Mus musculus: one gene and its partner. The protein of the gene in region 1 interacts with the protein of each later gene in a pairwise test. Links are inferred from orthologs where the notes say so. Each region holds a gene or a part of one and is shown in the gene's direction. Other genes may lie near its edges.

What was found. The genes of interacting proteins can lie anywhere in the genome.
Region 2: the proteins of Ywhaz (region 1) and Yap1 interact in binary tests that used the Homo sapiens proteins (3 or more experiments, as listed by UniProt). The link is inferred for Mus musculus from reciprocal best matches to the Homo sapiens genes YWHAZ and YAP1.

The regions. Positions count from the first base shown.
Region 1 is NC_000081.6:36,787,202-36,792,992, reverse strand, and holds part of Ywhaz (14-3-3 protein zeta/delta), read left to right. Parts: intron 1-2,004; 5' UTR 2,005-2,015; coding exon 2,016-2,309; intron 2,310-5,791.
Region 2 is NC_000075.6:7,933,805-7,939,595, reverse strand, and holds part of Yap1 (transcriptional coactivator YAP1), read left to right. Parts: intron 1-1,057; coding exon 1,058-1,188; intron 1,189-2,968; coding exon 2,969-3,081; intron 3,082-4,863; coding exon 4,864-5,099; 3' UTR 5,100-5,791. UniProt on the Homo sapiens protein: Transcriptional regulator with dual roles as a coactivator and corepressor. Critical downstream regulatory target in the Hippo signaling pathway, crucial for organ size control and tumor suppression by restricting proliferation and promoting apoptosis.

The DNA.
Region 1 (5,791 bases):
GAGCTAGGCGTGGGGGTACCGGGGCACGGGGTCCCCAGCGTCCTGGGCTGGTGGGAGGTTCGCATCTTTCCAGGAGCTGCGGCCCCAGGATGGGGGCTGCGCCTGTCTGGGTGGGGCCCTGCCCCTCCCCCTACCGCAGCTGTCGGGACATCGGGGCTTGGGTCGGACACCGGCGGAGGGGACCCTGGGCGGGAGCGGGGTGTGTCCGGCGCGGGCCGGCCGCGGTTCCGCTTCTGCGGGCGCGGATGGCATCGGGCCCCCGGGGAGGGTGATCTGCTCCCCCTCCACCACCACCCTCCGACTGGGGCGGGTGCACGGACTGCTCCTCCCTCTGCCCGGGTGGGGGGGCGATTCACAGTCGGAGTAGGTTGGGCTCCTTGACACAGTTCCGCCATGACAAAGAGAGTCGGGGACTAGCGCGGAGGCACCAGCCTGGGCGGAGCCAAGGAGGGGAGGTGGCTGCGGATGGCGCGGACGCAAGGACTAGCGCTTTAAAGTCACCGCTGCGCGGTTTCGGTTCGCCCCACCCTCCGGCCTCAGGCAGCCAAGGGTTAAGTGGGTGCGGCGAGTATTCCCGCAGTCTGAAGGCGAGGCCCAGGAGCGCTCGTTTTCCTGTGAGAAACCTAATCCACTTCCCCTTATCCGGGAGGTTGGCGGGGGAACGTTTGTACTGACTTAGGCTTACATCATTTTTGGAAGCAACATTTACCAGTGACCGTTTCTAATGTTAGATTTCGAGACCCCGGGGGAAGTATGGGTTCACAAATTTTAAATAGTTAATGCACGGAAGGTACTGTGTCTCGAATTTAAGCTAGCCCTATCCGTGTTTCTGTTCTGGACACTGCTCATTTGGCTACCAAAAAGAGGTCCTTTCTGGAAAGGTAAAGGAAAGAATTTCCATGGTGGGCGGCAGTGACTCTTTATTCCTACACTTAGTGCATTCAGGTTGTGACTTTTCATTAAAGTGTATTTTGTGGGATCACTATATGATTTAGAATTTTGCTCTTGGAATTGTTGAAGAAATGAGAAGTAAATTGGAATCTAGGGAACTTTAAAATTGAGCGAAAGAAAACTGGGGAAATATGAGGAAGACCAGCTTGAGGAGTTGTGACTGCTAGAAATCCTGCCGTGACTCCAGACTGCAGCAGGCAGCAGACATCGGAAGCGCTTGGCTCCCTCCATGTGCTGTGGACGCCCTAGTGCTCACTCAGAGTAGGAAGTGAGTGTGCCTGTGTGCTAGGCGAGAGTTCATAGGACGCTGTTTAGACACAGATTGGTCTTGGGCTTAGTGATTCCTGGTGGTATTGTGTTTAAGATAGTTTAAGCAGCAATTAGGCAGTTTTCTTCAGATAATTTTATACCATGATCAGCTGGCAAATGTTACAAGTGTAGTAGATCAGGGTGGGAGGGTGCTAAATAAAATAAAACTTAGTGGCTCTTTGATAAGAGTATATACATTAAAAAGCTAGAATATAATTACACTGACATGACTCACGATTCTGGAAGTATGCTTATAGGCATTGTAGGTCCCGGTCCCTAAACTGACCCGCACCCCCAATGCGCATTCCTGCATGCACACTAGAGGGAAAGTTGCTCAGGTGTACATCATTTAGTGTCGTTGGGATCTAGGGATCTTTGGCCAAGGAGAGTAGAGGTGGGTCTCTGGTTTTGTACCCCCTGCCCTGCAGCTTAAAGGTGGGTTTTTTTTTGTTTTGTTTGTTTGTTTTGGGTTTTTTTTTTTTAAGGAACTGGTGTCCATATATGCTTTGATCTTACTTGAAATTGGAATCTTCTGAACAGGTGGAACGCGCAGTTAATTTCACAACCTACTGTTAATATGCAGACTAGGCTAGTTTTCTGGTTGGTTGGGGTTGGGGGCTGCCTTTTAATTGCTCAAGCTGGTTTGAGGTACTGGTGTGCCTTATTTATTTATTTACTTATGACAGGTATGAGTATGTATTTTTCACAGGCGTTTTCTGAATGTTTTTCTTCTTCCCTTTACAGAATATCCAGTTATGGATAAAAATGAGCTGGTGCAGAAGGCCAAGCTGGCCGAGCAGGCAGAGCGATATGATGACATGGCAGCCTGCATGAAGTCTGTCACTGAGCAGGGAGCTGAGCTGTCGAATGAGGAGAGAAACCTTCTCTCTGTTGCTTATAAAAACGTTGTAGGAGCCCGTAGGTCATCGTGGAGGGTCGTCTCAAGTATTGAGCAGAAGACGGAAGGTGCTGAGAAAAAGCAGCAGATGGCTCGAGAATACAGAGAGAAGATCGAGACGGAGCTGCGTGACATCTGCAACGATGTACTGGTAAGAAAGAGTCTGTGAATCTGCCTCAGCTTCACGGGCGCCTTCACAGGGCCTCTGGTGCATTTTAGAAATTGGCTGTTACATAGATTAGAACTTGTCATCTAAAAGGTGCTATGGAACAATTGTAGAACGTTTCTGTAAAGTAATGAAAAACATTACTTGATGGTTTGTGTTTCTGTAGCACTAGAGCTGATACTCATAAATATATGTGGTATGGACTGTCTAGAGCCAGTTCCTGTCTGGATTAGCCGGTATAATAGAATGAGTCCTGGAGAAAACTGGATTGCAGTTGCTTGTGTGGATTTATTTGTTGTAAGTCAACTTTGAATGTTAACAACCAATGAAATAATCTCAATCTCGGCTTTCCAGGTTTTACAAGTGCTTAAGTATTTGGCACCTACTGTGTTGAAATACTTTGCTTCTAGGAGCTAAAGAGATTAAACAGTACATTTGTGTGGATTTCCTATTTTAAAAAATAATACGTTTTTTGTTTGTTTGCTTTTGTTTTGTTTTTTTTTTTTTTTTTACTAAGAAAATTTTGAGGGTAAAATCTAATAGAAGACTAATCAATTATTTTTCTAAGGCAGAATCTGTTTTACAGCCCAGACTAGGCTTAAACCTCACGTTGTTGGCTCTGCTGTCTTGGTCTCCCAAATGCTTAAAAGTCACTATGTCTTGCAAATTAGAATTCCTTTAAGACTATTTTTATTGATAGAAAAGTTTTCTAAATTGTACTTTTTTTGTTCTTCAAGGTGTTTTCAAGCTTTTTAAAGATTTAACCCATTTTAAGATAAAAACAACTGAGATCACAGCCTACTTAAAAAGCTTTTGCTTTGGGTACATTTTTATTTGTTTCTTTATATAATAGATTGTATGACTGCCATTTTTCCAAGGTTGAAAATTGCTATATTGAAGGTAAATCATATACCTATTTTAAAATTATGTAACTAAGAACATTTAAAATTGGATAGGTATCCACTTCATAATAATAATGTTTTAGGTATGTTTCTGCTTTTCTTGCTTAATCTGTTTATCACTAGATTTTATTCAGCCTAATAGGTTTTGTGGAGTTTTTTTTTTTTTTTTTCCTCCTAAGTACTGGTTTATATTTTGGTTTTGAAGGGTATAGTTAACAGATTGTACTTTCTCCTAAGAGGTAAAAGGGACATGCTAACCTCTTAGGCTCTTGCTGCAGCTCCAGGTAGGTGTTTGCATGTTTTCCATGGGCAGGCTATAGAGAAGTTCTCAAATTCTTGTGGCTTTTCCCAAGGAAAGACCAGGTGGTTTCTACTGTCTCCTTGGTTTCCTTATGAAGAAAACTGAAGTTATCTCTAAATAGCCTCTATTAAGGGTATGAAGGGGTTCTGGTCATTTCCTGCCTGCATGAGTGTGTCTCCATCAGGATGGTTCCAGCTTTTCACAAGGTCTGAGTCAGGGGTTCCCCTTGAAAGCTTAATTTCTTTCCCACACATGTGACTTAGAGAATTGTGAACAGGTTTTTGCCTCTAGTCTTGATCTTTTCAAAAGTACAGCTCTGGTTTATTACATATTAATGCTCAGATACCATTGAAAGGTTTCTTGAGAAAGAGGGCTATAGAATTAGGTCAGCAGTCCTGCTGGCATTCCAAGGCTTTGTTTTGCTTTTCAGCTTGAGAAGGCTCAGTAAATAAAGTGGGCTTCCTACCTGGCTTTTTCAAAGAAGCAGTGGTGACTCAAAATAGTTTTTATAAAATTCTTTCTTCCCTTTCTAGTGAAATAGAAGAGTAAAATTAGCCAAGACTTAACCTTAGTGGGGAAAATGCACCATTGTGCTTTATGAAATCTTGAGTGTGGTTCTTTCGCTGCTGTTGACCTATAGCATCAATGTGAGTAGAACTTAATTGTTCTAGTTGTTTGTATTAGCTGAGAAAAAATACTCTTGAACACCCCAGTCTAGCTATATGCCTCTATCAAGTGCTTAATGTGTATCATTTTAAAAGGAGACGTTTTCTTTCTTTTTCCTCTTGTTGGGAGTTGCAGTATTGACTGTGTAGACCAAACTCCCTTCATAAGTGAGAGGCCCCAGTCATTAGAGATATCTAATCATTGTTCATAAACCCAAAAAATACAGTCCCAAGTGGGGTAGTTCATGTAAGTCATAATACAATAGATTAATAATTACTAAAAACCTATTTCAGACTTTAAATATATTGTGATATGGAAAGCTGAGGGGCTGGGTTTTTTAATTTAAACTAGTTTTACAGTAAAAGAAAACTTGAGTTCAATTTAAAAGGAATAATGTGTGTGTTGCCCATGGAGTTGTTGTGGGGAGGAGTGAGGTGAAGCTCTTTGTGAGGTGCAGTTGTTACATATTTTATCTCTAGCCCTCAGAATTACTATTTATTAACTAGTGCAGGAACAAGATAAGAAACCAGGCAGCTTGCTTTTGTGTGCGTGTGTCAGTATGTGTCTTGGACTTAAAAAATTGCTATATAGTCTTTATGTTAGCTGAAAATAACTAAGTGGCTCCTATTCAGAGAAAAGACTTCACAGAAGAATATGGTCATTGGAACCTATTTTACTGCTTTCTAGATGAGTATATATGTGGCATTGTCATGTGTGGCTTTCAGTATTTTAGCATTGAAAGAACTAAGATGACCAAGTAGATTGAGTGCCGTCCAGGAAGAGTAGCAGGTAACTGTAAGTGTCTTTGGTAAGGTTTCTCATCTTATGAGACGGTACTCAGTGAGGAGTTTCATAGAGTTGAGAAGTCTGAGATGAGAATGAAGGGGGTGGGGGAATATGCTGAGGGGGAGGAGGTGGTGCTTGTTTGGGGTCCAGAATAGAAACACCCAACACTGCACATCACCTGCAAGCAATACCTAAGGTTACCTGTAAGACAGAGTGTGGGCATGTGCAGACAAGACTTGAGTGGGGCAGGGTGAATTCAGGTGAGAGCAGGATGAAAAGGACCACAGGAGCCTTACAGGCTGAGGAGAGGAGATGTGTCACTTCTGAACCGACAGCCCAGCCCTTCAACCTGTTCCAGAAAAGGCATTTATACGCCTTGAATTTAAATTCAGTCAGTAGGAAATCAACCATGTTGGGATAGAGGTTTTGTGTTTTGTTTTTTGTTTTTTTAAACATAAGCACATTGATTTATCGTTGCATGCGGTGATCATAGTTGGCTTTAAAGATTTATCTTTAACTAAAACAGATATGTGTCCAATTGCCTATTATTCATATGACATTCAGATCTTTGCTTTCACTGTACAGATGAGTTCAGAAATAATTTCCTTGCATATTCCATGTTTGTAAAGTGTATCTTCAATAAGATGGGAGTTTAAAATGAGAACTTAAATGTGTGATAGGCCATGTGTGATGGCATAAATTTGACAACAATAAAGCTATAAGAAAACAATAAAAGCCTGTGATTGCTTTTAGAAACAAGGGACATTGGAGTGGTTAGAAAATCTAGCTTGCCTCAGACATTGTATCTAAGT
Region 2 (5,791 bases), on another chromosome or scaffold:
AGTGTACTTACGTATAATAGAAGTGTTGCTGGCTTGGGCCCTGAGTGAAGATGTGGCTCGAGGGGCTGGAGGAAGCTGTGCCTTAAAGGCAGCCTTGGGCCTGGGAAACTGCAGAGAGACCTGGAAGCATGCTTTATAGAAAACTCCATCTTGCAAGTCAGTTACCAAGTGCAAAAGCCTGTGCACAAACAAGCAGGGGTGACATCTGCTTAGGAAACAAACCCACGATTTATAGGGTAGGGTGGTGAGGGCACTGGTGAGAGACCCTGGTCCACAATGTCTGAATGAAGCACCTCTGAGGCCTGTCATCAGCCTGTGGCAGGCAGATTTCCAGGTAGGATTCTGTTGAGCACTGTTTGATCCCTGAAGAAATGTTAACCCAGACTCGCCGTCCCCAGAGGAGAGAACACAGCTCTATTTAGTTCTGGGAGGAAGTCCCTAAGACAGTAAGACTTGGTGTGAGCAGTGGGGAGTTGGGGGACTGGTGTCTAACAGCAAATCACACATGTTCTTTCCATTCTGTTTTCACTGCTGGCCCCAAACCTTCAGAGCCGGTAAGTAATAACAAAATCTAAGAATTGTCATTAAAGCCCAACTGTCCCAAGGGAAAATTTGGGGGTCTTTGCAAGTAAAGAATAGTAAGATGGAATAAATTATATGTGTGTTTGAGGGTTAGTGTCTGCAGGTTGTTTGTTTGTTTGTTTGTTTGTTTGTTTTTTCGAGACAGGGTTTCTCTGTGTAGCCCTGGCTGTCCTGGAACTCACTCTGTTGACCAGGCTGGCTTCGAATTCAGAAATCCGCCTGCCTCTGCCTCCCAAGTGCTGGGATTAAAGGCATGCGCCACCACTGCCTGGCCAGCTTACTTTCTTCTATGCACTTAAAATGCATAGAAGAAATTGGTTATTCTAATTAGAAAATATTTTAAATATATGTTAATGTTTTACCTTTTTTGTGTCTATTTACCCCTTTTGTGGTATTGTGTATCTCTTTTAAATCTAACAATAAATTTGTAAATCAGCAGACTTTCTCTTTACTTTTGTTTGTTTGTTTGTTTAAGGAATTAGCTCTGCGCAGCCAGTTGCCTACACTGGAGCAGGATGGAGGGACTCCGAATGCAGTGTCTTCTCCTGGGATGTCTCAGGAATTGAGAACAATGACAACCAATAGTTCCGATCCCTTTCTTAACAGGTTAGTGAGAATGCTGGCCAGTATCTGGAACAGACCCTTGCTTTGTTGTTCTGCTTTGAGATTTATGGCTGTGTAGAACATCCGTGTGGGCCAAAACCCATAGCTGTCAACCATCTCTCCACAGGTGCCAAGCACAGTCAAAGCTAAGGATTAAAGGGGACTAGCTGTTCAGGCTTGTGCAGGGATCTCGGTCAAAGCCACAACATGCTTATTTCTGCCTGTAAAAATTAGTCTTGAAGGATAGAGTGAATGCCTTTTTGTAAAAGCAAGCAGAGACAGCATCTTACCCCCAAGGATGTTAGTGAAGGATGGGGGAATGCTATGCTCCACCCAAAATTTTAAAACATAACGTTAGTGGCCCTTCTTCACTCCCTCAGCTGCTGCTGCTACAGCTCAGGGGTGTGGTTCCATGGTGTATGTGTTTATATTTTTTAAACATCTTAACCCCTTGTCCCCTGAGCTGCTCTGGTGCCTGCCAGGTTATCCTAGATGCTCAGGGGCGTGAGGGGCCAGCATTAATTAGTTGGGATTCAGTGGAGAGCAATCTTTGCCAAGAAAACAATAAGAACTATCTGTACATCACAGTGGGCTCCTCTGTGCCTTCTCTGGGACTGGGGGTGGGGTTTGTCTAAAGTCACCTGCTTAACAGACTCAAATGTCTGTTGTGTGTCCCTATGTGGGAACAGTGTCCCTGCCATTCACGGTAGAAGCTAACAGGCATCCTGGGCTAATATATACATGGCTGTGTTATATACCAACAGTCTCAGGCAAGTTTATGTTTCTTGGATTTATATGAGGCTGCTGAATTTTTCAGAGTCGTTGGCATAAAACAGTGTTTATCATGTAGAGTGAAGGAGAGGACGGACCAAATGCATTGAACAGTTAATTAGGAAGAAGGTTGGGATCAAACATTTGTACTGCTGGGCTGGGATCTGGTAAGGGTTTTGTTTTTTTTAACAAACACTTTAAATGTCCATCATGTGAGAGAGCCAGTCTACATTTGTGGTCAGAAGCCGGTAAGAGTAGCGATTGCCCTTGGAGTTGTGGGGGTTACTGGTTTGCTGGTTGGTTTTAGTATTAGTAGAATTTAGGTTTCCAGTTGATAGCAGCTATTTTCAGTCATAACTTAGGAAAGTATCCTCTTCAGGAAGCTTCAAGGCTGTTTTCTGCTGCTCTTGAATCAATCTTGAGAGTTTGCATTCAGCCTTAAGTAACAATGCATGCTGCCTCCTGTTTCTCCTGAAGGCCCTCTCTCTGCTTTACCTCCCTTCTCTTCTGAAGCTTGGGCCTCTTAGCTGTGCTGAGGTGTTGGGGTGTTCCCTCCCCCAACAGAAGCAAGAAGATCTAGTTGTGGGAATTTTATCTCCAGTGAGTTGACTATTTTGTCAAAAAGACATTCTGGCTCTTTCTTTGGGCTGTCCATGGCTTAACTTGGGCGTCTTGGGAGCTGGAAAGTGAGCATGAGCCTAATGCAGGTTTGACCCCTCGGCCGAGGGACTTGAGACCTTGGAGACCCCAAGCTTCAAAATAGTTAATGGGACTTGTCACTTTCTTTTCTCTCCAAGCTCAGAACCTTTAGATGGCTTTGTCTTTAGCAGCTGCCACTTTAGTTAGGATCAGTGTATCTGTCCGATTCCAGTACAGAGGCTGTTGGGCTCTGCAGAGGCACTGCAAGGCAAGGATTGTTGGCTGTTCCTCTCAATCTTGGTCATGCTTAACACATCTTTATTTTTGCCCTGAGTTGATTGAACTTTTCCGTGCCTTCTCACTGTTTTCCTAGTGGCACCTATCACTCTCGAGATGAGAGCACAGACAGCGGCCTCAGCATGAGCAGCTACAGCATCCCTCGGACCCCAGACGACTTCCTCAACAGTGTGGATGAAATGGATACAGGCAAGTATTGATTCCCTTTCGGCTGCACATAATCACTAGTTGTGTTTCTCCTCCCTTCCTTCTTAGACAGGGTCACAGTGTAGCTAGGACAGGCTGGCCTGGAGCTTAGAGGCTCCTGAGTTCTAGGATTCAGGCACAAGCTGACACACTGGGTTTTCCTTTGAGATGAGGTTTTTGCCGTGGCCCATGCTGACCTTGTGACCCTCCTGCTCTGCTTTCAGAATGCTGAGATTTCAGACACTCACCACCATGCCCATTGTTTGACCCTGTTTTCTTTTAACATGTTAGTTGGGCCTATTAGAACTCTTTTGTTTTAGATCTGTGTTCTTAATTTTTAATACGTTTTTGTGATCCACTATTTATTTCTTTTCTCTGAATACTTTGGGTTCAGCTGAGTTGTTTAAGGTATTACAGGGCTAGCAAACCATATTTGGGGGAGGGGGCTTAGACTTTATGGTTGAAATAGTTGTACAAGCATTGAGGAGCTAAGACCTCCTTGCCTTGGCTGAGGAGAGCACAGAACAGGGATGCATTTTCTCCACAGTGTCAGAAGTCTTTCATGCCGGCTTTTATCTGACACATGAAGGTGAGATTTTGAGAACTTGTCGCTTGCTTCCTCTGAGTTTACATAGATCAGAAATCCTGTTTAGGAGCCACTTGGGCCTACCTCATCCTAGCCCCATCCTGGCCCCTCTCACCAACTGTCATGTCTCACCTCTTCAGCCCCCTTGTAGCACTTAAGGCTGTTTGTTTTTCTGAATATAAGTTCTGGCAAAAGCTCCAAGAAGTGCTAATATCATGGATAGATAAAAGCGCTCTGGGCAGTAAGTGCAAGAAATTTAGAAAGAAGTCTGGGGAGGTCACATGTCTTCAAGGACTCCTGGGAATGCTGTTCTTCTGTTGCCTGTATGAGTCTGTAGTGCTTAATGTTAGTGTCCCGGAGTACAACTTAAGACAAAAGGTGCTGCATCTTGACATGCTGACTACCTAGAAATGGTGGTGCATTTCTAGGAGAAAGAAAGAAGGCGTGGTTTTCATTTTTCACTGCTGCATATTCCAAGGAAGTTTCATAGCCTGTCAGTTAACACTTTGTGATAAGCAGCCAGGCTGTATATTTATATTGCATGTCTGTGAAGTGGTGAGACGCGTGAGACTTGGCATTGCTACCAAGTGATCTCTGTGTGTGGTGTTCTAAGGTAGACACTGTGTGCTTCAGTTGCTGTGGGTATAGCTACGCTCACACAGGCAGCTCTGACACTGTGTGCTTCAGTTGCTATGGGTATAGCTACGCTCACACAGGCAGCTCTGACGCTGTGTGCTTCAGTTGCTGTGGGTATAGCTACGCTCACACAGGCAGCTCTGACACTGTGTGCTTCAGTTGGTATGGGTATAGCTACGCTCACACAGGCAGCTCTGACACTGTGTGCTTCAGTTGGTATGGGTATAGCTATGCTCACACAGGCAGCTCTGACACTGTGTGCTTCAGTTGGTATGGGTATAGCTATGCTCACACAGGCAGCTCTGACACTGTGTGCTTCAGTTGGTATGGGTATAGCTACGCTCACACAGGCAGCTCTGACACTGTGTGCTTCAGTTGGTATGGGTATAGCTACGCTCACACAGGCAGCTCTGACACTGTGTGCTTCAGTTGGTATGGGTATAGCTACGCTCACACAGGCAGCTCTGACACTGTGTGCTTCAGTTGGTGTGGGTATAGCTACGCTCACACAGGCAGCTCTGACGCTTCTCACAGAACATTTGTTCATCCCTCCTCAAAACTAGGAGACACCATCAGCCAAAGCACCCTGCCGTCACAGCAGAGCCGCTTCCCCGACTACCTGGAAGCCCTCCCTGGGACAAATGTGGACCTTGGCACACTGGAAGGAGATGCAATGAACATAGAAGGGGAGGAGCTGATGCCCAGTCTGCAGGAAGCGCTGAGTTCCGAAATCTTGGACGTGGAGTCTGTGTTGGCTGCCACCAAGCTAGATAAAGAAAGCTTTCTCACGTGGTTATAGAGCTGCAGGGAGCCACTCTGAGTCTGTGAGGGATCCACAGAGCCTAAGATGTGCACGCCTGAAATTCAGATAAGTCAGTGGGGGTTCTCTGGCTAACACAGAAAACAGATGAACCAGTGTCCATCGTTGTTCCGCTTTTCTCTGCCCGTCGCTGCTCTTACGTTGGTTGCTGACCTCTTCACGGCCGGCTCTAAAGAACCCGAACCGCAGACAGATTCCTTTGTTAACTCTGCTATGATAACTACGTTCTCTGGGATTGCTGGGGGATGGCCTGCTGGATAATGGATGTTCTGCCTTTTGTCCGGTGGTCCTTTCACCATCACTTTAACTGAACACACAGACTGGGAACTGAATGCTCTAGAACATTGTTCAAGAGGTGGTTTCTTCAGCTGCCTTGGGTCCAACAAGCCAGAGGCATTGCGTCTGATCTCGTGGAGGACGGAGGGGACCCACGCTGAAGACTGGTGAACTTTCCATTCTTCTGTTAGCGATGCCGTTAGGCCATAGTGACCTGGGTCTTATCTTAGACGCTTATGAGGCATGAGACAGCTTCCATAGAAATATATTAATTATTACCACATACTCTAGATTAGGTTTGAATGAATATTTTCTGTGGGTGTTTTGGTTGGTTTTTCTCTGCCCCCCCCCCCTTTTTTGTGGTTGGTCTTGGTGGAACGTAGGCAAATTAATGA